Linked DNA regions of Oreochromis niloticus. The protein of the gene in region 1 interacts with the protein of each later gene in a pairwise test. Links are inferred from orthologs where the notes say so. Each region holds a gene or a part of one and is shown on either strand. Other genes may lie near its edges. The genes, in order: sav1, hax1 and serine/threonine-protein kinase 4.

Evidence for each region.
Region 2: the proteins of sav1 (region 1) and hax1 interact in binary tests that used the Homo sapiens proteins (3 or more experiments, as listed by UniProt). The link is inferred for Oreochromis niloticus from reciprocal best matches to the Homo sapiens genes SAV1 and HAX1.
Region 3: the proteins of sav1 (region 1) and serine/threonine-protein kinase 4 interact in binary tests that used the Homo sapiens proteins (3 or more experiments, as listed by UniProt). The link is inferred for Oreochromis niloticus from reciprocal best matches to the Homo sapiens genes SAV1 and STK4.

What each region holds. Positions count from the first base shown.
Region 1 is NC_031983.2:21,072,790-21,083,558, forward strand, and holds the start of sav1 (protein salvador homolog 1), read left to right. Parts: upstream 1-6,299; 5' UTR 6,300-6,543; coding exon 6,544-6,637; intron 6,638-7,330; coding exon 7,331-7,819; intron 7,820-10,769. Other genes in the region: nin (ninein), read left to right, coding at 99-233, 320-421, 514-606, 3,387-3,500, 4,316-4,522. UniProt on the Homo sapiens protein: Regulator of STK3/MST2 and STK4/MST1 in the Hippo signaling pathway which plays a pivotal role in organ size control and tumor suppression by restricting proliferation and promoting apoptosis.
Region 2 is NC_031985.2:17,527,015-17,536,697, forward strand, and holds hax1 (HCLS1-associated protein X-1), read left to right. Parts: upstream 1-6,009; 5' UTR 6,010-6,155; coding exon 6,156-6,220; intron 6,221-6,501; coding exon 6,502-6,752; intron 6,753-7,007; coding exon 7,008-7,207; coding exon of another isoform or gene 7,208-7,226; intron 7,227-7,298; coding exon 7,299-7,353; intron 7,354-7,449; coding exon 7,450-7,583; intron 7,584-7,677; coding exon 7,678-7,813; intron 7,814-7,884; coding exon 7,885-7,958; 3' UTR 7,959-8,280; downstream 8,281-9,683. Other genes in the region: ubap2l (ubiquitin-associated protein 2-like), read left to right, coding at 1,575-1,642, 1,772-1,966, 2,583-2,678. UniProt on the Homo sapiens protein: Recruits the Arp2/3 complex to the cell cortex and regulates reorganization of the cortical actin cytoskeleton via its interaction with KCNC3 and the Arp2/3 complex. Slows down the rate of inactivation of KCNC3 channels. Promotes GNA13-mediated cell migration.
Region 3 is NC_031970.2:4,653,880-4,664,221, forward strand, and holds the start of serine/threonine-protein kinase 4, read right to left. Parts: upstream 3,842-10,342; 5' UTR 3,386-3,841; coding exon 3,342-3,385; intron 1-3,341. Other genes in the region: cox6c (cytochrome c oxidase subunit 6C), read right to left, coding at 6,662-6,787, 7,267-7,371. UniProt on the Homo sapiens protein: Stress-activated, pro-apoptotic kinase which, following caspase-cleavage, enters the nucleus and induces chromatin condensation followed by internucleosomal DNA fragmentation.

The DNA.
Region 1 (10,769 bases):
TTAAAAGCTGATTTTTTTTATTTTTTTTATTTTTTTTTTATTTTTATTTTTTCTTTTTCCTCTGTTAGTTATGTGAGTGGTCTTTTCTGTGTTTGCAGGTCCGTCAGCTTGATGCTACCATACTGTCCCTGAAGCAGCACAAACATCAGAGTCAGTCCTCCCTGATGAAGGCCTTGGAACAGGAAAACTTCTCTCTTAAAAAGGAGCTTGAAGCACAAAGGGAGCTTACCATGGTGTGCATTCATGCTGCTGACTATAACCAAAGAATGTTCCGATTATATAAAATCAGAAATTCTTATTGCATGTGCTTTTCATTCAGGGCTGTGAAGGTGGACAAAGACGCACTGAGCTGGAGAGCCTTCAGCAAGAAAACGAGGCGCTCAAGGCTCAGCTGGCTCGACTAACAACACAGCTGCTTGAGGTACTCCAGCTTTTTTCTTTAAAGCTTTCTTTGGATAGACCAGTTTAACAAGAAAGCACAATAATTTAAACAATATTTGTTCCTATTTACAGACTTTTCAGGCACAATTCATGGGACTCCTGCCTCCATCACCTCACAGGATGCCCAGAGGACAGCACCGTGGTGACGATCCAGACAACATGCAGGTACAGTGCAATTCAGAACTTCCACAATGGCAAACCTGACCAAATATATAACCGTTTACCTCTTAAGTAAGCTTGGATATAATAAATAAGTACTGCATTAGTACATTTATAGATTGCCGTTCTTTTCTCACACTTATTTTTTTCGATCACATTGCACTTTTTTCCCTCTTTTGTTCTTAATATTAAATTAATCTTTGAAGCCTGTGCACCACTTCTCATGCTGGTTCACTTTATAATGGGAGTTGATACATAGACCTTTGACACAGCAGCTTCAGTTTGCCATGAAATCGTAGTTAAACGCAGGTTTTTCTAATTAATGTAGGTTCTGTTCTGTGTATTGAGTGTCTTCATTAATGTGGTTAGAAGCACCTGTGTTTACCACCTCCTTATTTCCCTGACTGCTGTTACTTGCTCCGATATTAAATAATGTACAGCATTTTCATATTGTACTTGTGGCTGTAAATGTCAGTGAAAAACTGGACATCACTAACATTTTCAACATCATAGCAAAAAAAAGTGTAACCTGAGCTGTGTCCTCCATTCCTCGTCTGAGTTTTCCGCTCCTTTCTTTTTCTTTTATTTATTAAAGCTGGGTTTGCTGTGTTTTTGTTTTTGTTTTTGTTTTTATACCTGTCGTAGATCCATTTGTGCACCCATCTGTCTTCATCTCCTTTTGTCATATCTGTAGAGTTTACCTTCATGGGTCTGGTGTTTTAGCTTGTGGCACCTATTTTTTTTTATTTTGTTTTGTTTGTTTCTGAATTCATTGTCTTTTATTTTCAACCTTGAATGCTGGTTGAAATAGGCTGAAGTAGTTGCCATGGTGTGATCATCTGGGTGTGGTGGCTGATTTATTTATTTATTTATTATTTTTTTCCTTTTTTCACGTTTTCTCCCACAATCTGCATAAATCTTCATTTCCCGAAAAATACAAGTTGTCCTTTTATACTTATCATATGTGTAAGTGGCATCTTCCACCTTCATCTATCATCACCAGGTTGCCATTAACACAGTGGACTTTGTTAGCAACAAAAACATTATGCACAACATCTGCAGAAAACTCCATTGCTAGTTTACTTGCAGATTAAGTTTTTCTTCTTTTTAGTAATTGCTGACTTAGTCCTAGTTTGCCCACATCTTTGTTCAGCACTTCATCAGTGACGATCAGTTAATAATTGACGTTTGAGATCCCTGTATGTATGATTAGTCCTGCTGTTCATGCTGGCTTATACAACTGTCCAAATCCACAGTGCTTAAACAGTGGACTATAAATTTGAAAACGAAAAACTAGAGAGATGTTTTCTTAGCCAGTATGAACAGGAGGAATGCTGACATCCTGCAGATTGATTAATCTGCATTCATATTAGAATTTCTAGTTTGTCTATCTTCATTTATTCAATAGTCTACACACATCTCAGGCATAAAAAGCCCATCTTTAGAATTAGAGGGTAGAGCCCTGGTGAAGTGTACCTGCCTTTTCTCTCCAGGGGGCGATGCCGGAGCAGCGGGCGGCACACGCAGACAGCTGCCGGCGGATCGGTGGATTGTAACGCCAGCGTCATTTCCTGCTCTTCGCTTTACAGACTGCTTACATTCTGCTCTCCCTCTGTATCCGGAGTAAAAATCTGAATGTGGCACATGAAGCCCCACATTTGTGGTGCCAGAGATAAATGGCATGACGTTGTAGTTGTATTTCATTGCTGCTAGGTGGCAGGGAAACACAGAAAAGGCTCCTGGCTTGTTTTCCAAATGGGATTTTGATCACATTAATACTTGCATTGACAGTTGATAGACTGTATGTTTTCTAAAAAGAATAAATAAATAAATAAAAATGTAACATCACTGAGCTTATATAGACTGGAAAGAGGTAGGACCAGACCTTTGGTGGATTCATTATACATCCTGGTCGCAGTGAATCTTTTCGATGCAGGGTTTACTTTCTGGGAATGACTGTTATGCACTTGTGTCTTTTTAAAACTTTAAAGGGTTTATGACAGGGTATGTATCCTCGGAGGAAAAATCCTGTCATCAAGGGCCAAGGTTAGTGCCTGACAGCCTTTTGAGTCTTTTTCTAACAATCAAACCATTCCCACCTGTTGTTGCCAGGTGATGCTACCTGATGCTATTTGTGTGCAGTCAGGGTTCATGGAGATTGTTCAATGAAGATACCAAGTTTTTAGTCCTCTACTGTCCTCTACTGTATATTTGTGTTCTGGGCCTCTTTTGTTGCTGCTGAGCACCCAAAGTGAATCACATCTTTTTGTTTTTCTTAAGCAAGGACTGATCAAACATGTTTGGTAATTAATTTTCAATGTTTGGCTGGTATTTATTAAATCTTTGTGAGGTTGGTAGTTTGTCTTTAGTACAGCGTGTCATTATGTCCGTGTTTTGGGTTTTTTAATCATTTAGTGCATTTTTGTTCTTCCTATGATGCACATCTGTTTTATTTATTTTATTTATTTTTTTCATGTTTAGAGTTTGTTTTATTTATTCATTAATTAATATTTTTTGTAGCTATATCTGGAATATAAGTCATAATTTTATACTTGTATTTATTTTTCTAGTGAATCATCCTCTTTAGAAATGTAACAGAAATCCATTAATAAAGAATAAAGCAACTAGCTCACAAGAAATGGTGTCTGACTCATCTCACGCTCACATTTGCAATTGTTTTGTTTTTATTATATTTTTTTTTCACCCACTCAGAAGCTGAACTCATTTTATATGGTAGTCTTGCATCAGCAGCAGTTTGACAATGTCCTTGACTGTCTTCTCCCCAGGATGAAAGGGAGACGAAGATGAAGCGCATGGAGGAACGAATGAAGGAAATAGAGTTGTCTCTGCATAATGTCAAGCTGCTGCTCAAAGAGAAAGTTGCTCAACTCAAAGACCAGGTCAGTTCAGTTTCAGTTCAATGGCTTCCACTAATTTTATTTTATTTATTTTTTTATTTTTTTGTAAGGTGTTGTACAAAGCTGGACTGCCATTTCAACAAAAATCTACTATACATTAGCTAATTTGGTAACAATGACAACGCAACACAACCTGTGGGAGAAGATAGACAAAATTTAATATTATTCAATAATGAAACATACTTGGTGCATAATGGGAGGTTCCCCAGCAGTCTGAGCCTGTATCAACATGGGATGGTTCAGGGTCATCTGCAAACTATAAGCTTAATCAAAAATTAACTATTTTTAAAGTAGAGAAGGGCATCTGTCACCTGTAACTTGGAACTCTTTCCACAGGAGAAGAGGCCTGATGAGATCTGATGGGGTCTCATTGTTAGTTTATATGTTAGGAGGAACATTTGGTACAGTTTGATAGTGATTGCAGGAGTCCAGCCAAGAATTAAAAACTGTATGAATTCATTTTTCCACATCACTCCGAGATGCTTGGCAATTCCACAGAGATAAAATAAAAAAAACTCAGAATTTATCATTAGAAAGGTTATGTTGTTAATTTAAACTATACCCATATTGTGTTTTCTGTCGTAGATAACTCCATTTAGTCTTCATAGCAATGGAAATGTATCCAGTAAAAATACTACCTAAGAGAAATGGTATGGGTCCTGGTACAAAACCTTGTGGAACTCCATAACTAAAACCCCTTTTTTTTTTTTTTTTTTTTTCGAACAATTTGAAATTATTCAAAACATTGCCATGTAATGTAACCCATTACAATCAATTATCTACTTTGACTTTTCTAGCTGCACAAGAATGGCAAAGCGGACGTACTAATCAAAGATCTGTATGTGGAGAATGCCCAGCTGCTGAAGGCTCTGGAGATAACTGAGCAACGTCAGAAAATCGCGGAGAAGAAGAACTACCTGCTGGAGGAGAAGATCTCCAGCCTCAATAAGATAGTGTGTGACCTAAACCCGTCACATCTTCCGCTGCCGTACCATTATAAATGATCACAAGGGATTAACTTGAAATGTGTGTCAAAGTCAATATTTGCACTGTATCTTTACTAAATACTTTTATTTTATTATATTTATCACTGCTGCAAACTTTATGCAGCAGATTCTGCCAATTCATGAGAACTGGTGGTTTTATGTTAAATATGCAGTATTTTTGTCCATTTAATTCTAACCAGTAATTAATGGGACCCATAAATAATTAAATATGAGGTCAAACTGCAAAGAAGACATGACTTTTTACAGTTATTTATATTTTTAAAGCACTATTACCTATTAGTAAATATCTTACCTTTAAACTTGCTCTCTGTCCAAAGAGAGGAAAAACAATTATGAAGTGTACTTTTTATACAAGTGTTCTGTGTTTGAACTGTCCAAAAGTTGTTTCTCTAGCCCTATTGTAAAAGAATAAATAGAAACCTGTCGTTCGGTAGTAAAATCATGCAAACTGAGAAGTCAAATCATGTTTTACCTAACACTACTTGAAATTGAAAAGACTTTAAATGTCTATCAAGTGGCAATATTTTACATGTCATTTTACTTTTAAAGGAAATTGTATGATCTGTTGCAATATGTAAAGGTGTACAGGCTATGTGATTATGGTTGTTCTGGCTTGAAAGAAAGTACCTTGTTATTGTAATTAATTGTAATCTGCATTTATTGCAGAGTAAGCATTAGAGTTAAGACAGGGTAATGGCTGTGCTACAGATATAAATAAAATGAATGGATTGTGTTTGGTGGTTTGTAAGTTATGGCTTTTTTTCATTGGACATACACATGATAACAATAAATGTGATTCAAGCAAAATCAACATATTTAAAATTCATGCCAACCATCCATGGCAGGAATGTCAAACTTATTTTACATTGTGGTCCAACATCCAGCTAAAGCTGTGGCCTAATAACATGTTAGAAGATGCCTCTTAATTATTCCCCTTTCTTTCAGTGTAAAAAAGTTCAGATAAATATTAAACAACTGAGATGTCTTAACAAAAAAAAGTGTATTTTCAACAGTACGTCTCACTCTTTGCTGACAAATTTCTTTATAATGTACATTCTTTAGGTTTATGTCTGAGTAAATGATTACAGCTACAGAAAAAAAAACACTGGCATCCCACACTTTATACTGTAAATAAAGTTGTTGGGGGTTTTTTTAACCTGTGGCTCCGATACAAAACAAAAATGTAAATAATGAAAGAAAACCATTTCATATCATTTATTCAGTACCTACTTTGGTGTATGAAAGGATAATGTGTTTTTAAGAGAAGCTGTAAAACTGGACAATACAGATAAAAAAAAATAATCTGCAATTTCCACAGTGTTTAAGCCATCTAGTGGGTCAGTATAGACCCTTGAGAAGCCTGTTCCAACCCCTGGGCCATTTAACATCCCTGACATACAGGTGTGACCAGAAATGTAGTCACTTTAGTCTAAACGATCAGTTAACTCTCTACGGCTTTAAAATGCTGCTCATGGTTTGCTGCTTTTGTTGTTTACATCCAAAGTTTGCACAAAACAGACATGCATTAAACAATCTGTATGAAAACGTGTATAAGTAAAGACAACAGAGATTTAGGAAAAATTTAACTGATATTTTCTAACTACAGTACAGTTTTTGAACACTGTAGTATAATAAATTTAAAGGTATAGGCTTAATTATTTATTGATTGCCATCCAACCTTCAAAAGTCTCTCATGTCAGTTTATTTCTAAATCAAATTTTCATATGTATCTGTTAATACTGTGTTTATGTCACCGAAGGGCCCCACGGTGGTTTTTGCTCCTCTCTCTCCTCCTTCAGATGGAAGGACTTCCCAGTAGTGGGACTGGATCCGCTGCAGCAGCACTGACGCTCCCTATGGCTTCAGTTAGCTGGCTAACTGCGGCTAGCTAATCCAAAGCTGCGGGGAAAAATGTTGACTTTCCGCGCTTTGCTAACTGGCCGGTATGGTTGCAAAGTCGAAGGATTGTGCCATGACTTTACCTCACCGTGCTGTTGATGTTTTCCGAGCCTTGAGTTATGCTCTCACGAAAGAAAAGTAAGAACGAAGCGTCCAAACCAGCCGAGGTACACGGGAAGTATGTGAAGAAGGAAACGTCGCCGCTCCTGAGAAGTAAGCGCAACAAGTGGTTAGCTTGTCAGCTAGCCCCGAATAGCATCACTCAGCTCGCTAGTTAAAGTTAAACACTGTTAAAGCTTAGTTGGCTAACATTAACAAGTAATGTAAAATTACTCTGTGGGAACATTTATACTTATTTTTAAAGCTCCCACGATTGTAAACAGCAGTTTAATGCTGTACAGTCTAACCAAACACAGCTACGATGATAGTTATTGTAGCTAAATGCTACATGAGCGCCAGTTGTAGTGTATAAAGTTATAAGATAATGCTTACAGCTCTAAATGACTCAGCTAAAGGCATATTATACTAGTAGATTAGTTTAGTTAAAAGTATTTTTTTAGTGTCTGTAATGACTTATGATTATTGTGATAGCTGCTGTTAGGTGTTTCTATTAGAGTATCTATAGAAGTATTATGAATGTTCACTGGAGTGAAAATAGCAGTATTTTGTAGAAATGGGGGTATTACTAAATTACCTTCTCGTGTAAAAGTTTTATTCGAGAGTCAGTAAACATTATAATTCAGGTATGAAAATTAAAAGTACGCGATTTGGCTCCTATTAGTAAAATATTCTGTTTTTATTATGGGTTTTTTGTTTTGTTTTGGTTTTTTCAAGTCATCAGGCATGAGCAGCTCCAAGATATTGTGTTGCCTTTTATTGACATTTGCTCTGCTGACCTGATTGCAGATCTTATGCCCTCCTTCATCCGTCATGGACCCACTATACCCAGACGCACAGAGGTCCCTCTGCCAGAAATGGTGCCTTCTTCCTACCCTTTGGCACCCAGCCGGGAACCTGTGGTGTCCCGTAACAAGAGTGTCCTCCGTACCCATGTGCAGAAGACTCCTCATGAGGTGGCCCGCACAGAGAGCCACCGCTTGTCTGCACCTCCGTACCTGCCTCGCAGTCTGGGAGACATTTCGCATGAGTATGGAGGCTCATCACAGTCCTTCCTTACAGACGTGAGTCCCATGTCTGAGAATGGAGATGCCCGGTATTATTACCCCTCTGAACCTTATTATGAAAACCAGCAACATCAACAGCAGCAGCAGCGCCAGCCAAGGAGAGTCCCAGACCGCTTTCCTGAAGACTATAGATACTACGAGCACAATGAGCACAACTTCCAAAGACATCCCCGACAACATACTCCCCCAGCTCCAAACAGACCCCCTTCAGGTAGATTTTACATTTCTTTGTGAAGCTCCCTTTTAACGCTGTTCATGTCTTTATTTATATATTTTAACGAATTTAAAGAGGTTTTGTGATAAAAGCAAGAAACACCTAGTTTCAGAAAGTTTATGACTGACATCCCATCAGCAACTTTTTAAAATTTCCCCTTGTAGACCTTTTTTTTTTTTTTTTTTTTTTTTTTTTTTTTCAAACCCTTGTTTCTTTGGTGTATGGCAAGATGTAGTAGTGTCAGTGGCTGTACTAATGTATAATTTCTGTTTTGAGTATTATGGATGGTTGTCCAACTACACAGAGGCCACTCTGAAAGGAATGCAGGCCACTAGTTGTCAAATTGAAAAGAGCAATTTCATTTCAGTCTTTATTTTACTGCTCTGTGTTGTAAACATTACTATGATGTAAGTGTAATTACATTGAGATGGGGGGGGGTTGGGGGCACGGGAATGCTTCTTGTCCTCCTCGTACCATAAAGACACTTTTATTTTGTGGCTGGCTTGTCAGTGTCATGTATACAGTTCAGTATTATGTCAGGCCTGCCGATCATGTAGCCTTGTTTGGAGTAAAGTCAAACAAGCATTAGAGGCTCTGCATTTTTCACCACTGTGTTTGCTGAAACTTTCTGCCAGCAAACTAGTAATTTGCACATTGCCCCCAGTCAAATGTCTCAGCCTCAAACTGCTCGCTAGCATGAATCATCCTTGTTACGTATGTGCTGATCTCTTTATGCTTGCATTTAAAACACAGTGAAGTTTGAGAGGGGTCACCCCTCAAACACTGGCAGACGTTTTTTCATTTTGATAACAGCATGTTTTTGTCCCGTAAATAGTACTTTTTAACAAGAAAATAATCAAATCAAAGCAGTTTGAAAATAACTCAGAAGTTAAATGTTGGTGCAGGGATTGACGTTATTTCTGAGTTGCGTGTGTTCAAGTAGTGAAGTCAGAAGAAAACAAGGGAAAGCATGATTTGTTTTGTTCTTTAACAAGGTAAAGTCATTCAAGCATCACTTTGAATATAGTGCAGTCTTTTTTTGTGCTTAAAAACAACGCTGTAGCATGTTTGTGCATGACGCCCAGTCAGTACAATGCCACTATATGTTATTACAGCGTGGCTCTGTGGTATAGTTGGTCACATTTGCTTTAAACTGAAATTATGGTTCAGTGGGGGTGGCATGCTGGCCCATCTACCTGCAGAGACCGTCTGTTGTTGGACAGTGTCCAAAGTATGTTGTACAACCGGTCTGTGGGCTACTCTTGCTTGTCCTTTTGTTGGTCCATCAGGCAGCCAGGTAGAAGCACAAGCTAGTGCCCAAGCCCAGATAAGGAGGGTTGTATCACACAAGCATCTGCTGGAAAATCTCAGCCAAATTGGGTATGAAGATCTTGTGTGGCAACCCCTTGGGAAATAAAAGAGAGTATATACTGTTTAAGTGGTGTCCTATACTATACTGAAGCCCCACACACCTGCTGTTTAAACCTCGTGTTTGCAAAGGGCAGCCAGTTAAAAGAAAGAGCGGTTAGTTCTGGATGAACTGAGGGGCTTTGTCAAGGCTTAACTCTTAATAGGGCACTCATTGAAATACTTGGAAATTCAAGTCAGGTTGTGCTGTTCTGTGACATGATTCTTTGACACAACAGCATTTTCCCTCTTTCTATAAACGACCTGATCAGACAGCTGCAAAAAAAAGGACAGAATGTTTTTGAGTCGATAAGTGTAGATTTACTGAAAACAAAAAATATTGACGAATAAATTGTACATATTTACTAAGAAGTGGAAAAATAGCATTATATGTACTGATTGTACCACTTTTTTTCTTATATGTAATTAAGTCAAAGATAAATAAAAAAACAAATAGTGAATTATTAAATCAATTTTAGTAGAAAAAAGTCTCACAGTAAAAATAAACAACTATATATGACTTTTAAGTATAATATAAAACGGAGGAAATCACATTTCATAATTCTAAACTTGAAAATGTGTACAAGTGTTTTAACCTTCTCAATGGATCACTGTTTAATGTTATACAATGCTGTGGCATTATCCAGTGTACTATCAAACTTAAAGTCCTACATTATAACGTGCTATTTCTTAAATAGCATGTTCTGGGCCACTGCAGATTTATCAGATGTCACTGTCTGTCACATAGCTTGATCTTTCCTGATTGGTTGGGAGAAAGTTCCACACCTCACAGACATATGTGGTTCCTCACCTGATAAAAGCGGTTGATATGAGACAATTTAGGCTTATTTTGAACTCGTGCAAAAAGCTGCTGAGCTACTAGAGTCCAGGTGTAAAACAGAAATGGGCATAAGTTGTCCCTCTGCAAACCCTGAAAGGGTGAGCCTGGTATAGTTAATCATGTTATTTTCTTGTGTGTGATTGATGTTTTCATAAATGATCCCAGTTTCTCTCTCTCTCTCTCTCTCTCTTCTTTCCATGTTTTCAGTGGTGTTTTCCCTAACGTGATGTTATCAGTCTACCCACTTTGTTTCATTCAGCCCAGCCATTAGCTCACAAGCATGATTGTAAAATTTGCTGCTTCTCACTGTAATCTAAGAAATTCCTGTGATGTTTTGAGCTTTAGGTCTGCTGTGAGCATTTTTTTTCTGAAGGAAAGGGCAGACATGATGATCATGATGATGAGATGGGGGTGGTGTAGGAGGAGGAGTGCATTTCTGTGGAGCTCTCACACATTCCTTCCCTTCATTCAGCAGCTGGCAAAGAGCTCCACCTCTGTTGCTGTCACTCTAGCGTAGAATTTATCAGATTGTAGCCGCCATTTCGCTGAGATCCTTTAGCGTTCCCCTGTATTTGGAATTCTTGGTTTCTGCAAGCTCATTTGCTTTGAGTCATGGCACTTCTCGCTCATCCACATCCACACAGCTGTCGACTTGACATTCCTCGCTGACGTTATTCTCCAATAAAAGTACAGGACCCG
Region 2 (9,683 bases), on another chromosome or scaffold:
ACAAAATCATCTGTAGCACTGGTGATTGGTCAGAATAACGCCGTGTGTGACTGAAATGTTTTATCAAAACTGTGTGCACTGAACCAAACCTGGTACATAGGAAGTTCTGCTCATGTCTTTGAACATCACTGACCATTATTGGAGTGTTGAAGTTCAGCGTTACCTAATTAGAAATGATGACAGTGGATACAACGGATGACATCGGTCACTCTCAAAAGGGAAATCTGTCTCTTGCAGAAAGGGAAAATTTCTGCAAGAGTTGTGATAGATTTAATTAATTAATTATTTGTTCTGGATTTAACAACCCTTCATTACCTTGTGAGTGTACGAAGCAAGAAATGCTGCATTTAACGAGCTTCTCGTTAAACATGGAACTTGTCAGTGTAAAAGTGTTTGGACACTCAGGATTTTAACACATTTCTGTGAAGCTTCCACACAACACAGGGCTGAAATGAGTGCTTTCAGATTAACAGTCTCGTGAGGTTGAGCGTCTCTCTAGCTGACAGTTTCATTAGCAGCTTAAAAGGAAAACAAAAGTTTAAAAATCCATCACTTGTGTTATCTGCAGAAGAAAATGACAGAAGTATTTAATATCACTTGTATACAAGATTCTTCTGCTTTCCAGCAGTGCCAAGACTTCTGAGAAACTTATCTTTAACAGAAGTCAGTGAATGAATGATTGAAGAGAGGAACTAAGAGATGTATTTTATTTTTATTAGCCTGTTAATTTTTTTTTATTTTTTTTTGACAAGTACAATTTACAAAATGGTGAAAATGCACATCTGATTACTAAAGTTGTGTCTTCAGAATAGGGATGTACTGTACTGTATTGAGTGTTACTGTTTTGGGGACATAAAATGGGGAAAATGGAAAAAAATAATAATAAAATGGACAGAAACAAATATCTCTTATCCTTTGTTGGGCAAATTGTCATCTTGTTTTTTCTGATCAGATGTCAAAAATCCAAAATCATTAATTATATTTTCATACAAGACAGCAAAAGCAAAGAAGCACATGATTGTCACCATTTATATTTGGGTAATTTTCTTTGAAAATGTTTGAAAAAATAAATCATCTGGAATTAGAAAACTGGGACGGGACTAGCATTTTGTTTAATATCCAGAGTCTCTTCTTTTTTGGTAAGCTGATATCATATAGGGTTAAAAAGGAAGTGTCAGAGCAAACCAGAGCAGCAGCCACCAGATACAGTCAGACCCAAACCTGAAACATATTCAGCTACACCATCTTTCTCTGATTCCTCTTCCTGTTCATCTCATCCTTCCTCACCACCTCAGTCTCTTTGCCGTCGTCACTAAAGGGAAATTCTGCTGAAATCATCTATGGACTCGTGCTCACATAGATGTTCACACTTGGAATTTCCCAGTATTCTGTTATTATTTGGATTTTTTTTCCCCCCTCATAGATAATGTCTATACATTAATTTCCTTGTTGTCCATCGACCCAGTAGCATCTGTGCTGGTTAGAATCGGAGCGTAACCACGTGGGTGGTTGCAGTAACATATTCGGTTTAACAGTTAATGAGCTCAGTTTGTGTCGTTTCCCCCTCTCTGCAGGAGTCTCTGTGACATCAAGCAACACGGGAGTACCAGATATTTCAGGGTCTGTTTACACAAAGACGCAGGTAACTACAGAATAGAACAGAAATATTTACTCACAGGATATGCTTTTGCTTGTCTTGTAGCAGCAAACAAACAAACAAAAAAACGTTATAGTGGCCAAACTGATTATTTTTCTTCCTGGTCCCCTGCAGTCGTTTGAGAAGCAGGGCTTCCACGCCGGGACGCCAGCTGCATCATTCAGCCTGCCCTCTGCGCTGGGCAGCGGGGGCCCCATCAACCCTCCTGCCGCTGCCGGCTACGCTCCAGCTCCATTCATGCATATCCTGACACCACACCAACAACCCCACTCTCAGATTCTGCACCACCACCTGCAGCAAGACGGACAGGTGCAGTGTATATATAAATGCTTACATATTTGAGGTCATGCGATTTTTAGAAACAAGCGGAGCAAAGGCATTATTCGTTGACAAGGAAACTCCACCCAGTGAGTCAAATAGTAATGATCAACAGTCTGAATGAGCTCAAAAATGCATAGACTTGAAAGTAAATGATGGAAGTGTGTCGACACCAGTTCCCCGAGCGGTGACCAATGTAGCGACAGCTTTAGAGCCTGAGATCGGGTCGGCTTTAAGGTTGAAAAACGGCATCCTTCACTGTCTCAGTCACCAGTGTCTAAACGGCGACAAAAATTTATGGTCAACGCTGAAAAATGAGTGGGCGACATCACTGTAGCTCCATCTTTTATATTCAGGCTGTTAACTAGTCGACAACTTCCAGTCTTTTTGATAAAGCACGTTCAAAATAAATGAAGTAGCACTCGAGCATCGTGCAGTCAGACTGTTATAAGTAGTAATACAAATCTAGTGAATTGCCTTTAAAAGATTTGTTGGCAAGTTCATTAAGTGTTTGTGGTTTCACCGTGACATTAGCTGTGCTGCTTTTAGGTAAACACATGGCACGAAGCGGCAGCTCACTGATGAACTTTGTGACTCTCCTCCACAGAGCGGCACTGGACAGCGCAGCCAGAACGCCTCCATCCAACAGAAGTCTCAGATCAACAAGTCGGCGTACAACAGCTACAGCTGGGGGGCAAACTAACATCCACTCACGGGACCCCACCCCCCGCAGTGTCAAAAAGCTGGGAGGGGTGGGAGGCTCTTCACTCCTTCGGCAAATAAGTCTCCACATATAAATCCCCGCTTCCTCCTGCAGAGATTTCCCTCCAGTCTCTTGGCCCAGCACTCCCACAGCTCTGACCGCGGTCAGAGGAGGTGCTGTGCCGAGAGAACGAGCACTGTTAATGATGCATGGATGGATGGGTGGGAGGGACAGGAGGGGCTTTAAAAGTGAGGGGAGATTGGAGATAAATGGTGATAGAAGCAAACCATCAAGAGGGTGAAATACTAAGTGTTGGGAATTTGTATCGTATTAATCTTCCCGCCCCTTGCCCCCCCATTTTTTTTCTTTCACTTGTAACATAGAACTGTTTTTCTAAATGAACGTTTCCTGTATGGTCTTTTTTTTTTTTTTTTTTTTGTCTTTTCCCACTTTTTTTCCCACTGAAGGGGAGGAATGAAGTAATCTCTAAAAGGGGGTGGGGGCAGGCTGGTTTTGTATTTCAGACCCTCAACTCCCCCGTTCCTTAATTTTGATGGAAATTCTTCCCTCCTGAACCATTTCCAAACACAATAATTTGCCGTTGACTTTTCATGTTTTGGGGGTTTTTTTGTTTTGTTTTGGGGTTTTTTTTTTTTTAATGTCATTTTAAGTTTGCAGAAACAATTCTATAAATTGGTAGAGTTGTGAAGTTTATTTTTTACCGAATATAGATATATTATATATAAAGACATATAAGCAAGCTCACTGGCTTTGACTGTGAGGAAAAAGTGTGTTTGTCATGTGACTGCGTGCATGTTTGTACACACGGGGGGGCCATGGTTGCGTACTGTGCTTGGGTTTTTGTTTTGTTTTTGGTTTTTTTGCCTAGCACAGGATTTATTTTTGTTTTTTCATTATCCAACACTTGTACAGTAACTTTTCCCATTAATTATAAATATTTCATAAGGCCCCTCTTATTTTGAAAGATGAGAATGATTTCCAAGGCCAATACACACCCAGTCTGCCTTCCAGTGTGAATAACTTTGTTTCTGAGGCCCTCCCTGCCCCGCCACCTGTCCCCCCAACATTGTAAGGAAATCTGCGGCATTGAATACTGATGGACAGAATTGTACTATGGGTTTTTTCTTTTCTTTTTTCTTTTTTTTTTTTTTTTTTTTTTTTGTCAGTGATTTTTTTTTTTCTTTTTGTACTGTGCGTTTTAAAAAAAAAAAGTTTAAATGGATAAACTTGTCTTGTACATATATAAAAAAAAAACACAAGTACTGTAGTCCCTGTTTGTTCGATGGCTTTCTTCTTTTCCTTCTTAAATCCTTGCAGACTTGTTAGCTTTTTTGTTTTTGTTTTTTTTATTTTGTAAAAATATATAAATATTAAGTAAATAAACAAGAAAAAGACATTTTCATCATTTTGGATGTGAATGTCTTTTTAAGAAACTACGTTTCTCATGTGGCTTTTAAATACTTGAACATACATGATACAGTTCGTGGATGACATGTTGGGTAGAACTAAAACCTCTGGAGGCTTTCCAGTTGGTTTCTGTTTGTGGGCTGAGTCATAATAAACTCCAGGATGTCGAGTACCAAATGAAACTCCAAACTTATAACTACATCACACATTTTCTGGCCATGTAATGTACGGTATTGGTTGGTATTGGTTCTTTATTTTGTTTTTGTACATTTTAACCTCCATCTGTCTTGGATACACGTTAGCATTTTATGTTTCTCCATGATATATTTTCTACCCCCCTAGATATGCATCTTGGCACCTTTCTAGTAGGCAAATGAGAGACAGAACTGTACTTTTAAATGCCAGTAAATGCTTCCCAAAGGTGCTGTGTTGGATTGAGGTCTTTTACTGTATTAAACGCAGCTAAATTTGATTTTACTGGCTGAGGCTTCAGACTGCTCTAAACACTTGGTCTCTATTAGGTTTCTTGTGCCAAGCTCATGTCAGCTTAGTATGATTTTTTTTTTTTTTTTTTTTTTTCTATATGTGATTACACCTTGCAAGCACTAGGTTCTGTTTTTAGAAGCCAAGTGAGTTGCAGCCAATCAGAAGACATTGGGCTCTCAATGAGTGGGCTTGAAAAGGGTCATTTCAGGTAGTGGATGAAGTGAGACGTAGCAGAAATTGGATTTCTTAAACTCTGAATCATGCAAAGCTTCTGTATTTGGAGCATCAGAATAAAAAAATACTAAAAGCTGTAGATGTTCTCTCTAAATGAGCTCTGATCCTATTTGGCATAACTGTACTATACTCTCATTTCATGAGATATATATGAGCCATACACTTACCAGTTACGCCTTGCTAGCAGCAGATTGTACTTTTTTTTTTTTTTTCCTCTTCATAACTGCTTAAATTTTTTCATGGCACTGGAAACATTCCTCAGAGATTTTGGTCCCCGTTGACGTGATAGCATCACACAGCTGCAGAAGATATGTCAGCTGCACATCCATGATGTGAATCTTCCACTCCATCCCAAAGGTGCTCCATCGGATTGAGATCTGGCGACCGTGGAGGCTGATTTAAAAACTCATTGTCATGTTCAAGAAGCCAGTTTAAGGTGCTTGATCTGTGTGACTTGGCCTGTTATCCTGTTGGAAGCAGCAATCAGAAGTTGTCAGCAACAATACTCAAAAAGGCTGTGGAGTTTAAATTGTACTAAGGAGACCAAAGTGTGCCAACCACCGATACAAAATGGTGCCAAGCTTTTTGTTAATACCAAATTCTCACCCTACCATCCAAATATCACAGTTGAAATGGAGACTTATTAGAAAGGCAACTTTTATTCAATCTTCTGTTGTCCAATTTTTGTCGACTCCGTGCAAACTGTAGTCTAATTCTGGTGTACCCTTCAAGGTTCAAGGTGGTTGACCATACTGCCAATCAATCAATCAATCAATCAAACCTTTATTTGTCACATGCAAGTTTTCACCTGCAGTGAAATTGGACCCCCCCCCGACCATACATACATAAGACAGGTCGGAGACAGGTAGTAATTGGAAGAACACTGAAATGTACAATACAATGGGCAAATGGAGGAATGAAAAAAAGAGACCTCATACTGGGTTCCTTGTGGGAGGTCAGCATGAGAACAGAAAACAAAAAAAACTCCTCTGCACAGAGAGCACATACATCTTGACATCACAACACCATGAAGCACATGACAAGCAAGGTGAGAAGTGAGCCGATGTAGACACAGCCATCTTGCCAGCCCCGGGCATAGACCCGCCGTCTGTTACCTGAATCTCAACAGTGCGCTTTTATTTCGAGTGCCCATTTTATCTATTATTTACGGTAAAATAACATTACGACAGATTGCGTCATGATGAATCGTCTAGAACGCTTTACGACACTGTTGACAGCTGTAGTACATCTTGGCGAGTTTCTCCAGTGGATGTCCGCTGCTTGCACATTTTAAGTTATGGTTTAAGTGTCCACCAAAGCTGCAGTTAAATGAGTGTTTTTGATTTATTCCGCGGGTTCTTCGGGGTACCCGGAGGCCATTATCGTGGCCGGAGGTGAGTTTATGGCGTCGAAGTACGCAGCTGTACACTCGGCTAAGCTAGCTGAACTTAGTACACTTTCTGTTGCGTGCAGCTATGTCAGGGACAAGATTAGTATTTTCTGCCAGGAAAACCACAGGGGTCCTTCAGCTAGATTTATTTAGGTGTTATTTATGCTCACGGAGTTAATACGATTGAGTACTTTGAGGTCTGTTTGCTGGCGGCATGTTATAACGCAGTTTCTAAACCAAAGGGAGATTTCAAAGCTTGTACATTTGTGTTACTTCGTCTGTCAGGGACCCTTTCTTCGATGCCATGACTCATGACGATGATGACGATGAAGATGATGAAGATGGATTCCACTATGATGGGTTCAGTGGGGAGCAGCAGGACCCCTTTGACAGCGCCTGGAGGTTTGGCTTCAGTTTTGGCCCGGACGGGATGCGGATTCAGGACCCCCCGATGTTTGGCCACGTCCTCAGGGAGATGGAGGAGATATTCTCCCAGCTGGGTCGTTGGGAGGGACATCCAGAGGCTGGACACTTTGGTATGAAAACAGACCCACATGTTTTCATGTCGCTTGTTTTTAATGAAATGTAAAAAAACCCCAAAAAAACAAGTAAAAAAGTGTCAGTAAAGATGTATGGTGTACAATTCTTTCACCCTGGAAAAAGAAATAATTAAAAGCGCAAAATTAATCATGACATCCATGCCCATGAAGACTCAAATTCTAACCACAACTCGACATGTTCCTCTGCTCTGTGTTTAACCTGTTTGCTCTTTTGCCCTCTTTGTGTTTTAGATGTTCCCCACATCATGCCACCACCACCGTCTCAGGACAGAGCAGAGAGAGGGCAAGCAAGCTCCAGTGGAAACCCTCTGAGAGACTTTATGCTCAAATATCCTGACAGTGACACACAACAACGATCCAGAGAGCCCCGAGGTGATCACCGACCTTCTTACGAGTCACCTGAATTTCATGGCCGGACCCCTTTTTCCAGGGTAAAGGAGATATTCACTCCTCCCTCTTTGTTTCTGTTGCGACACAAGCTATTGTATATTCACTGAGATTTTTGTATTGTGTGTTTAAAAGTTTAATGATATTTGGAGACACAAAACTCCAGAGGAGGAGCACAAAGGTGACAGAGGTGGGTGGTGATATTTACATTTTATTTGATAATTTAGTGGAAGCTCTTTTAGATTGTGTCAAATTTATTTTCTATTCCCATTCTGATCCTCCCAAGATCTGGACTCGGCTGTGTCCTCTGGTGGCTTGGATCAGATTTTGACACCACCTGCTGGTCAGGCACCAAACCAGCCCAGAACACGGTCTTTCTTTCAGTCTGTCACTGTCACTAAGGTGGTGAAGCCTGATGGGGTGAGTGTTTCTTAATTCTGTATTAATACATTCATAGTGATTCTTTTAATAGTTTTGTCTCAGTTTTGATGAGCATTTCGTTTGCGTGTGTCAGAGTGTAGAGGAGAGGCGTACGGTAAGAGACGGCCAAGGCAACGAGGAGACCACGGTGACTCGCTCGAGAGGTTCTGGGATTTCTGAGGGACCAGATCATGCGAATGGACCTGTGCTGCCAGGTCAGCTTGTCTCGGGTGTGTGTTCTTTGAATTGTTTATTCACACACACACAAAAAAAAAAGTATTTATTTTTGGTTTTCTTCCAGGTGATCCCCACCACTTCTCAGACTTGCGGGATGATGACTCATTATTCTCCAGGTTCTTTGGAGGCTTTAAATAAAATGTGAAGGAGTTAGTAGAGATGTGAGCTAGCATATTTATATTACATACCAATGTATGGACAAACAGTTTCATGGACTTCCTTTGCCAAAATGAATATGTTGGATAAAGTCTCGCTGGCTCATTTAAGATGAAACTGGAAGTCCAAACTGATCATGCAGGATCGAAGCTGCAGATCCTGAAAGCTATTGATGATGACACACTGAGACACATGAGACGCTGAACAATTCACGTTTCCATATTTTATTTTTGTATTGTCCTGTAGACAAGCCTGTGTGGATGTGAGTGAGTGAAGAATTAAATAAAGACTCTTAATATATGTACAAAGTTGTTTGGCTCATATTTTTGTTAGTAACGGTATCTTTAGTCTTCAGCTTCTACATTATCAAGAAAACGAAATCAACTGCACAATATACTTTTAAGCAAAACTTTAAAAAAAATGCTGGACGTATGATACAATTTAAAATTCATATTACTTTTAATTTGACACAAGGATCCATAAATGCTTCATTTTCTAGCAGCTATTTCATGGTTCAGGCTCTACAGGGCTACAAAGTTACAGGGTCACAGTCATTCTATACAGCTCATTTAAACCTCGAGTGAGACGGACGAGTGACGCTGCCCTTTCTCTTAATTTAAAGGAGCTTACACATTTAACCGTTTGTGTCAGTTTGTCCACACGATAAAGAAATGCTGTTATTTTAAATGAAAGAAGTCTGTAAATCCAACCAGTTGTGCTTAAATTATAATTAGTAAATGTGCAAAATTACCGAAACATCTGGTAGCTCATCGCCTGGACTGTCCCGTAATTATACAACAAAGTTTTTCTTAATTCAAAGAAAAAGTTGAATGTCATTTTTTTTACTGTGGGTCTGTTACAAAAACAGACATTTCTGTAGCAGATGGTGCTAAATTTAAACTTTTTTGACATTTCAATGTTTGTCAGTTACTAACTCCTGCTTTAAAGGGATCCTATTATAATAATCTCTGGCTCCATATGTCTAACCTTGACTATAGCAGAGTAGCATTTTTTTTTTCTGATACTGTACCTCAGTGCAGCCAGTGGAAAAAGTCATTTTTGGTTCATCTCTCTGGTGAAAATCTCAGAGGTTTGAAAAGCAGTTAGTTGGGCTTCTGTGTTCAAAGCCAGAGAGGGATATAAACTAAAGGTAATGTTTTAGGCTAAAAGGAATAAAATACAAATACAGATGCTTTTGTTTTTTTTTGTTTTTACATTTTAAAATTTTAATCAAGAGGAAAAAATGGACCGGCAAAACAAATGACAATAGTTTCTCTTTTTTCTAATCACACAGAATAAAACAACACATAAAGCAACTAACTGTATATTGAAAAATGATACATATGTAAGCAAATGAAATAAATGAAAAGAAAATTTATTGTATATGAGGGTTAAATCACAGTGACAGTGGGCAAAGAATTAAGAAAATCAGTGAAAGAATAGAAGTTAAAAACTGATAAACTGGGTTTTTTCTACTTTAAGAAATAACTTGGGGATTGATTGTGACATTTCGTGAAGAGCGGTGTAAAAGTCAGTATTTTGTGCTGCATAGAAAATACCTCGAGCGGAATAATAGGAACCCAAACATTTAGTTAGTTTTTAGCTCAGCATAGTTTTTAGTTACAATAACCTTGGAAGAGACATGAACAAACAAATGTTCATTTTTGAGTCTAAAAGGGTTTTGATATGAATTAAAAGTCTTCAGTG
Region 3 (10,342 bases), on another chromosome or scaffold:
GATTTTCTCTTCTCCTTCTAACTAGACACAAGGTCCTCAGAAACACAGGAATGAAACAGGACTGTAGCTGTTTACATCTGCATGGACCAATATTGTTCTAATCTTTATTTATAATCTATTTCCTTTTCCACGCCTGCAGACGTGCATATTAGGTTACCCCATGATTCGAAATTTGTTGTAGGTGGGACTGTGAGTGTGAATGATTGTCTCTCTATGGAAGCCCAGTGATGCTGGGGTGGTCTGCCAGCCACCAGCCTCCCTGCAACTGCCAACTGGATAAGCAGCTAAAAAAAATAGACGACTGGATGGATTTAGGTGATCTGATTTAGGAGACGATGAAAATAAAGTAAAAAGAACATTAAAACCTAAAAATAATATACCAAACAATTTTTTATATCCTAAACTGAACAAAAACAACTCATGCAGTCTACAAAAATGCTCCTCAAATTCACATCAAGCAAGTACAGCGTTTCTCACATACAGACTTTACCTGGGCAGGTGACCCAGGTATGTTAACACCAGTCCAAGTTTACAAGTCTCTTTTTATCCATTCAAGAAAATACCAGTGTCAATTTACTTGGAAATCCTCGCACTCTTATTTTGAAAGACCCATCACTCCTAACAAACCAAGTCCTTCCTGTCTCTTGACCTCCTCCCGGCAGGTTGTTATTGTAACACACCTTAGTGTCATTCAGCTGCTTCTACAGGGTCTCGTGTCCCGGGTTAGAGAACAGACTCATGTACCACCGCACTGAGCTCACAGAGCAGAACGATGACTATCATCACCAGCTGCAGGGCAAGACTGTGCAGTCCATCCACAGGACGACAAACTCAGTAGAGCAACAGTGGATTTTATTAACCTGTTACTGATCTGCACAAAGTACTTGCTTACTAAGGTATTTGAAGAGGAGGGCCCCATAAAAGTATTTACTTAATTATTCATAAAAGATCATGACTGTGACTCCCCCACACACCCGAGGGTGACACTGAAATACATCAGGATATACAAACATGGTTTTATAATTCAACACAAAGCCGAACCCAGTCTTGCAATAACAAGGGATGAAACAAACACAAAAGTCCTGCGTTACATCAGCCCAATGAGGAAACAGTGGATGAGTGAGTTGAAAATGATAATATAAGAGCGGCGAGTTTTACCAGCACCCTCCTGATAAGAGGAGATAATAGGAACCTCTGAGTTCCTACTGTCAAACACACTGAGCTCACAAACCAGTTCCCACAACAAACAAGTTCACGTCTGTTATGAGCTGCTTAACATCCACATACAGTGATGACAGCGAGGAGAAAAAAAAAAACAGGACGCATTTTTAATGAAGAGTTTGTTGTTTAGTTTTTATTATTCTGATCATTTCCACTTACATCGGGGTTTGTTTTTTTAGCGTTTATGGTGAAAATGTCTCTAAGGCTGCTCAATAATGGAAAACAATCAGTTATTTTGGCTGATGCTATTTAACACGATTACTCAGACTTAAGAAAAACTGTAGATTTGTTACATTTTAAATAATAAAAGATCCATTGCTTACTCTGAACTTAAATTATAATTAAAAAAACCTGCGCTAAATGCGCCACAGCTTAATAGGGAGTGAATCTGAACTTCTTTGGCACAAGAGAGGGACAAAGGTAAAGAAAAGAGATGTGTAAGGCCAAAACAAGAGCATCCTGAAATATGTTTTCCATACAATAAATAATTTATATCCTTAAAATATTCAATATTCTACACATACTTTAGAGGAGCATAAATCACATTAAGAAACTTGAATCAGAACTTTGTGGCACTTTTGTTTGATTTTAGTCACTTTCTGCTGAACAGTTAATTCTTTATGTGTTTTATATTAGTGTAATTCTACAGAAACTAAGACTGTGATTCAAACAGCCAGAATATCACATCGAGGCTCCAACTTCCCATACCTTAATAATACCCAAGTGGAACTACGTTTAAGGACTGCTCAGGAAACGAGTGAACTGCAAACACATCATAATAATGGAGTTTATTTATTGGTCATGAATAACTGATCAGGCAACTAAGACTTTCCTGTCTTTTGTTATTCATCTCAAGAATGACACACACACACATACATACATACATATATATATATATACATACATGTATGTATATGTGTGTGTGTGTGTGTGTGTGTGTGTGTGTGTTGGTATTTTACAGCTTATTTAATATTGCCAGTACCTGCCAAAGCACTGTAGGTGGAAAACATTTAATTACTGAATTTGGTACAGGTTTTATGTGTATAGCACCAAACACATAACGAAAAAAACTAATGTAAACTTTAGAACCTCATAGAATAGCCATTGTTCGCTTATTTTAAAACAACTTTAATCTGAACAGGACATTAAGCCACTCCTGTCTACATATTTTTCACATATACAGTTTATCTCTGCTTCCTTGTAAAAGCCTAATTACAATATCACAGATTTCACAACTTCATATCTGAATCAGGTTATCTGCAGTGTAAATAAAAGATCTACAGGTGCAGAGACACAGCATCCACACACAGGAACAAAGTCCCACATGAATCACACTCATTTCATTAAAAAGGGGTTTTTTTTCTAACCCCCTGTCTTTCCACCTGCCACAAACCCAGTGCTGTGGACACCCCACACACTCGCACGAAGTTTCACACACACAGCTCTTCTGTCAGAATTACTGCGCGTTTTATTGACTCTGAGCTGATTCAGTAACAACCTGTTGGAGATTAAAGCAGATAATCCGAGATCTTCAAAGAGATTTACGGCATTAAATTAGATCACCGGGCCTTTGATAGTGACAAGCCCAGGGATTTGACACAGCAGATCAAGTGTACACAGGCGGCTTGGTTAATGCAATAAGAGCTGGGCTTGCGTGGTACTGACAGGCCACTATTTATTTAATCAATTAAGAGAAAAAATGTTCTGCTTCCTAGTTCTTAAGTGAGAAAAGTTTGGATTGACAGGAATAATAAGACTGACTTTAGATTTCTTGTTACAAATTCTGGATATTGTGAAAGAACAACATATACGAACAGACTCTTTTAAGACATAAACATAAACTAAATGGAATGCCCTGCAGACACAGGACGGCACGACCCATTAAAGTTACCCATAAAAAGACTACAGGGGACACGGTGAAGCTTTAAAGACGTTTTACCTTAATGTCTGTTTTATCGTACAGTCGCTTATGTAATGCTACAGCCTCACTGAATAGATACCAGTTGGCCGGAAGATTGCCACCCCACTGACAAACTTCACCGACTGCTACCGTTAGACTGATAAAATCAATGAGATGCCAGCAATCAAAAAGCCCGTTTTCATTCTTAGCATAGCTTTACCTGCGAGGGTTATGCCTCATCTGTACTTTGTCCTTGTAGTCCATGATGTCCTCTTCAGGAGACCCAGACTCTTCTGGATCTTCTGGCCTGCAGTCAAACTCGGAGGGAGCTGGCCAACGTTTCAAAGAAGACACTCGATGCTAACAGTAGCAGACCGCTTAATGCTAACTCGCTCGCTAACTGGCTAGCAGCAGCTAGAGGGACAGTTAGCCCGCTCCTCCGCCTCACAGCAGCCTCCCCGCTGCCGCCGCTGCTGCCTGATATCCGCCAAAAACACAACGTCCGGTCATCATTCTGCAATACAGGCTCTACACACACTGCGGGTTTCTTCCAGCTGCCGTATTCTCATCACTGAATTCATCCTCCTCCCCCGTCCTCCAACTTTAGACTTGTTTGACAGACCGTTTGGCAGCCGCTGTAACATCCACCTGAAAAAACCAGGAAGTGTAGTAGAAGGCGGTGCAAACAAAGACTGCAGTAAGGGACGCGGCCAGCAGGGGGCACCGGATAGACAGAATCCATCCATCCAACGACAGCTGTCCAAGTATGTCGAATAAACCATTATAAAACCAAAACATGGGTTACTAATATTATATAAAGTTACCATATTCTGTTTTTTTTTTGTAAACTCTTTTGAAAGCAACTGGCGTGAGGAAGTTTTGGTGAATTTATTTACCATTTAATTTAATTCAATTCAATGTTATTTTATTTTTTTAATGTCAAATCACATCAGCACTCACCGCTTTATATTGTAAGACAATTTTAAAACGATAAAACCTAAACTAAAACAAGCAAACATTCTCTGGAAACTGAAAAGAACTGCAAAGGAACTGGTTTGGTTCAGCGTTGCTGTTTCTGCTGTTTAATGTTTTCTTGGAAAAGGTAAAGTCAGACTGATCTTCTAGGTGGCCGGTGCCAACTTTGGTTCTTCATGTTTGGAGCAGAGCATGTTTTGGGTTGCTGTTGTGTTGGAAAACAGAGCAATGACCTACACCCAGATTTACTGCTGACTGCCTGAGGTTCTCTTTCAGAATCTTTACACATCTTTCTTTCTTCAATTCAGTTCAGTTCAATTTTATTTATAGGTGAAGTCTAGTGATAGTTTTCTTTGAGACTAGAATAGAATAATCCTTCAATTGTCCCACAAGGGGAAATTTGGTTGGAGGCTACAATTCCTAACTCAGTCCTTAATGCTTTAGAAACATTTATTACTAGCTTTCTTTCTTCCAGAGTCTTTGAAATCTTTCACTCTCTGCCTCTACCAGGCTTGTTCTGTACAGAGCAAGTCTTTAATTTCTTTGTAATACATCTCACTTCAGTTTGGAAATGTTTTAATAACTTATAATGCATATCCATCTCCTGCTTTGTGAGCATTAATGTCTACACTTTAATCTCTGAAAGTGACAGATAAAACCTAGAAGGTTTTAATAACTTGTATAGGATAACCCTCAGTTTGAACTTGATTTTGCAAGCTTTGAGCATTTTCAGTAGACAAACTCATCAGTGCTGCCCACACTGGATGCTCCACCTCAAACGTCAAAGCATTTTCAAAAATGTCAAACTGATGAGAAAATTTGACAGTACAGTGAGGTAGTCAATAATAAATACAGAGATACAAAAGATACATTTGATACTCATTAATATTTGAGTCCAGTCCAACCCCATTGTTGTTTTTGTCTAACACTTCAGTGGGATTCAAAGCTTATTTTTAATAAATCACAAAGGCAGATGTTTTATCATTAATAGAATAGTTTATTTCAATGAACAAAAACAGCAAAGCGACGTTTACATCTGATCAGTAGGTAACGTCAAGGTGGAGGTGGAGAGGAACCATCTTTTAGACCAGGAATGAACAACAGGGAAGCAGAGCTGGAGGAAGGAAACAACCAAATATTAGAGAAGCACGTGGTTTGATACGTCAGTAAACAAGTTGATGAGCACGACAAACTTTTTGTTATATTTTGTTTAAATAAAAAATACTATTGTTACTGAGCTAGTATAAAATAAAATACTATTCCAGTTTACATAAAGATTTAGATTTAGATTAAAAAGGTCTAAGATTAAACAAAAGCTGTATATAAAAGATGGATGCAGCCACCATGACATCGCCTATCGGTTCGTAAAGTCACCGTCTCACAGATGTTTTGAAACTTTATGTGCCTGCGAGGTGCAGACCTGACTGAGAAACAGAGTGATGCTGTGAGCTCACATGGCAGCAAGCTGTCAATCATATGGTAGCCCCGCCCTAAAGCAAAACCTTGCTGTATCATCCATTTCTGACTCCATAATTCATAAAAACAGCCATCATATTGTATTAAATGAGACTTTAAACGATTCAGAGACCACAAACTCCACAGAGCCGACGGTCTTTTTTCTAAACACTTCTCTTCAATCTGAATTCTTTCCAATCAGAGTAAGCGCCCCCTGTTGGCCTTTAGAAAACACACAAATTCAAAGCACCTCAGCATCAGGCACCAAGCTGCATTCGTCTTTTAAACATAACAATTTTACTAAAACAAAACCTGAGATTGCAAAAAAACCAAAAAAACATCTGCAATATTGTGAAATGCTCCATCCCCATGTACTGTGATACTCATGCATTGCTTTACTTAACACTCATCTTAAAGAGTGAAGTGGAAATTCTTCAGAATAATGGAATTTATCATTTGTTTAGGATTCAATTAGGGATCAGGCCTGTGGTTAAAAAAAATAATAAGAAAAAAGACTTTTAAAAACATTTTTAAATGATTTAACTTGTCAAAAAAAAAAAGTCTGGGATCTGCATCATGCTTTTGAAGAATTGCTACAGCACCTAATACAAAATACTTTCCAACAATGGCAGAGTTGTTTAACGATGCACAGACAGCCTTCAGACACTTTCTTGAAAAGATGGCTGCTGTAATGTTTGTTTGCATGCCAATAAACCTGATTAGATCCACTTTTCCTATATTTAAAGCTAGCTGTGTCTCTTGTTCCAACCACAGATGTGAACTTTTTCCTTTGAATATGCAGCCATGCTCAGTCACAGAAACTGCCCATAAACAAGAAAGTTGTCACAAACTGCAGTAACAATAAATTCTCAAAACCTGCACATCTTGTATCATCAGAAAATATTAAGAGCCTAATCGAAATATCCTAAATGAAAGTTTCCATGATCTGTTTTAAATTAAGAATATCATCTTCAGAAAAAAGAAAAGAAAAAAAAGAAAGCAGAACGTTAATGGTCAGAAACACCATCATATCAGATATTACACTGCATATGATACCGAAGTTTGAAATGACAATATTTAAAGGCAAGTGATGAGGCCCTCACCGTGGCTTTACTTCCCAGTGGGCTGCACACTCTCAAAGATCCCGGCTTCCCTCATGGCGTTGAACTCTTTGACGGCATCGTACTGCTTGTAGAAGTCTGCATAGGCCCGTTTCTTGGGCTCTGTCACCGTGTACTGTGGGGAATAACAACAAAAACAATAACAGAGCTTTAACTTACTGCAGGTAAAATTAGTATAATTGCAGAGATAACAGAGTAACAGAGAGACACAAAGTATTAAAAGTGAAAGTGGGCTGCTCACTGTGCAGCAGAGTAAGACTGGTCACAATAAAAAAATATTATATTTCTGTATCTATTTGTTACCATCCAAAGCTTAATGTCTTTGAAGTGAAGCTACGGTTTCAGCTTAATCTAACATTTCATCACATCTTATAAACTGATCTGAAAAAAAGAAGTTTAACTAGAAAATAAATACAATGAATAAAATATGATGACAACAGAATAGCCAATCAGCTGTCTGCTGAGCTGTAAGTGGATCCAGATACTGACAGGAAACTTTGATGTGTTCCTTTCATCACGGCTGTGTCATTTTATATCTTGGCATCACCATCAGAGTTGTGTCTGTAGCCACGTGAGTGTGCGTTGTCCTCTCACCTTGAATGCAATTGCAGCTGTTAAAGCCAGAGTGAAAGCAATGGGCAGGTGAAACCTCAGTCGCTTTGCAAGCAGCCCCCTCATCATTGGCTTTGGCAGAGACATGATGAATCACCTGCAGAGGAAAAAAAATACACAAAATGTAATTTTAATTTCCCCCAATTATTAAATTCTGTACAAATATCAGGGAAAAAGAAAAAGAAAGTACTGTCTTTATATAATTTCACTTTAAATTGTTTAAAACAATCATTTCCTGGTTAGTGTAAAATAAAAGCTGAATTTAACAACCTAATTTGAAGAATGCCTTGATGTAAATACACTGAATACAAATCATATTGTGTGTTTTGGTAAAAGTGGAGTTATAAAAATAAGACGCATGTTATTTTATAGCTTCCATGTTTTACCATCATCACCATGGAAGCTTTTATAGAGACAATAAAAGCTGCAGTGACAACAGAGAGAGTGACTGTGGAAGGAAATATGGGAGAAAACATGGATGAGACTAAATGCCCTGCAGACAAAGTTTAAGTACATCCAAATACTGCAGCACACTAAAAATACCAGGATGCCTGTTGTACTTGGATTTATTTTGATGTATGCATGCCAGCATGCTTTGGTGGCTACTGTGACCCACAATCCTCTGCTGCAGCTGCATGCTCAGCAAGGGGGTCAAAGGTGAAAGTGCACAAAGTATGTTGGAATTGTACACATACTGATACTGCAGTATTCTGTAGTTTTGTTGTGGTAAATGGACTAAATGGGCTTCTAACATAGTCCTTTTTTGTTCTCAGCACTCGAAGTGCTTTATACAACCTGCCTTATTCACCCATTCACAAGCACTTTTTCCAATTATTTTTCTATGTCAGTTCTTTCTAACATTCACACAAATTCATACTCTGACGGATGCATCAGAGAGGAATTTAGGTTAGTATCTTGCCCCAAGGATATCTGGAATGCAGACTGGTTGCCTTGGATCGATCCACCAACCTTTTGATCAGTGCATGATCTCTTTCTACCTTTCCACTGAAACACATTTAATAGAAACTGAATCTAATGCAACTTCATAAAATAAACATGATCAATTTTTAAGACAAAAAACAAAGATTTTAATTTATGAAACTCATTTTTGGATTTTTAGACCATTAAAAAACAGAAACCTTGTTGGTGACAAACCAAGGCTGCAAATTTCCTCACTCAAGAAACTGAAATCTGAAAATATCTTCCATAAGACACCTTTTTTTCCTAAAAACTGACAACAATTAAACTCACTATTTTATTAACTTAATAATAACCAACTAATCAAATCATTTACATCAAAATCGGTACATTTTCCTTGAATTTCTCACATTTGATAAATAAAAATACATTTCATACATGAGTATATTAACCCTACTTAAACATAATGTGTAAAAAACACATTTATCTCAGTCCTGATTTTTTTTAACATCACTGGAAAGTTTTAATCTTTTAAACATGTGTTAGTCCTGCAACTAACCAGTCAACTTGAAATGCATGTAGACACTTATTCAGGCACTTATTCTGAATCATTTCATAGACTTAAGTTAATTTCGGTAGTCGCCAAAATATAAAAACTACATAAATAAGATCCCGAGTCTAACATTTGATATATCTGCTTTACAAATAAGGTGTGATAAAAGCTTTATTCTGCTGGAAGTTATACCGCCATCTTTTTTGGTGCAGATTTAAATCCTGGATTCTTTGATGGTCATGTTTCCTCCTCACGTCTTTGGCACCAGTTAATAAATAAAAGCAGGTAAAAGCACCCATCTGAGGATGGCCTCAGGTGGGTCCTAAATCGCCTGAAGGTCGTTAACAGTCACCTCTAAATGAACCTGCTGTTCTCAAAACCCGGCTTCACCTGAATTAACTCAATACGACATACAGGATCCAAGAGAACAATGAAATATTGAAAACAAGCAGAATGAAATGAATCCGTGTGTTGGTGTGTGTGTGTGTGTGTGTGGAGGATCGCCATTACACACAGCTGCAGAGTCACACGGTGTGACCTCTGTGTTTTAGTCCCATTACTAACTCTGACGTATGCCCTCTTTTACACTTAAAGACACTTAAATAATAACTATATGCATTATCGAAGGGCTTGAACAGGCTGATTTTGATTATTAACGAAAGTAAAATCGGCTTGATGCCACTAGCTTCGGCGCAGGGTCAGAATAGCGTTAGCTAACTCGCGACACTGAAAACGAGTCCACTGCTTTCTAATACGACCATTTCTTTATCTCTTGGTGGGACAAGCTATACCAACACAGCCTGCATAAACTAGCGTATATTGTTGGACTACAGTTTATAAGAGTAACAGGCTTTGTGTTAGCGCCGAGTTAGCTTTAGCTGTACACGATGACAGCTAACCGGCCCGCGACAAAAAGAAGAAAGCAGGAGACAGTACGAGAAACTGTAATAACCCGGAAGATATCAGTCATCTGAAAATCAACATATTATATACAAAATTCAGTGTAAAAATATAAACGTTTTCCGTTTTGACAGATACTCACAGGTTGGACTCACGACCTTCACAGAAACCGCTAACGCACTGCAGCTGCAACCGGAAGAGATTCTGACGGGATGGCGGAGGGACAAACTTCGGTGGAGTAAAAGCGAAGTCAGTCAGAGCAACTGAGGTCACAGAAGGCAACAATCTTGTTTATCTTGTTTTGTTGTCTCAAATTATGACATCATATCAGGAAATTTATCTCTCAGTATATTGCTTTGCAATTTTGCTTCAAAATTTTCAGTTCGTGTCAGTATTGTGGAAATTCTCTCAATTACAATTAAAATAATAATTAAAAAGACTAAAACTAGCACTGAAAAAACTAAACTATCTATCTATCTATCTATCTATCTATCTATCTATCTATCTATCTATCTATCTATCTATCTATCTATCTATCTATCTATCTAGTGTTGATGGAGAAGTTTTAAGATGATCAGAATAAGCTTCACTGAGTCTTCACTGATCAGAGAAAACAGATGTTAAGAGAGGAGCTGTGGTCCTGTATGTGAGAGGGTGGTGCAGGACATGTATGAGGAGGACAGTGAC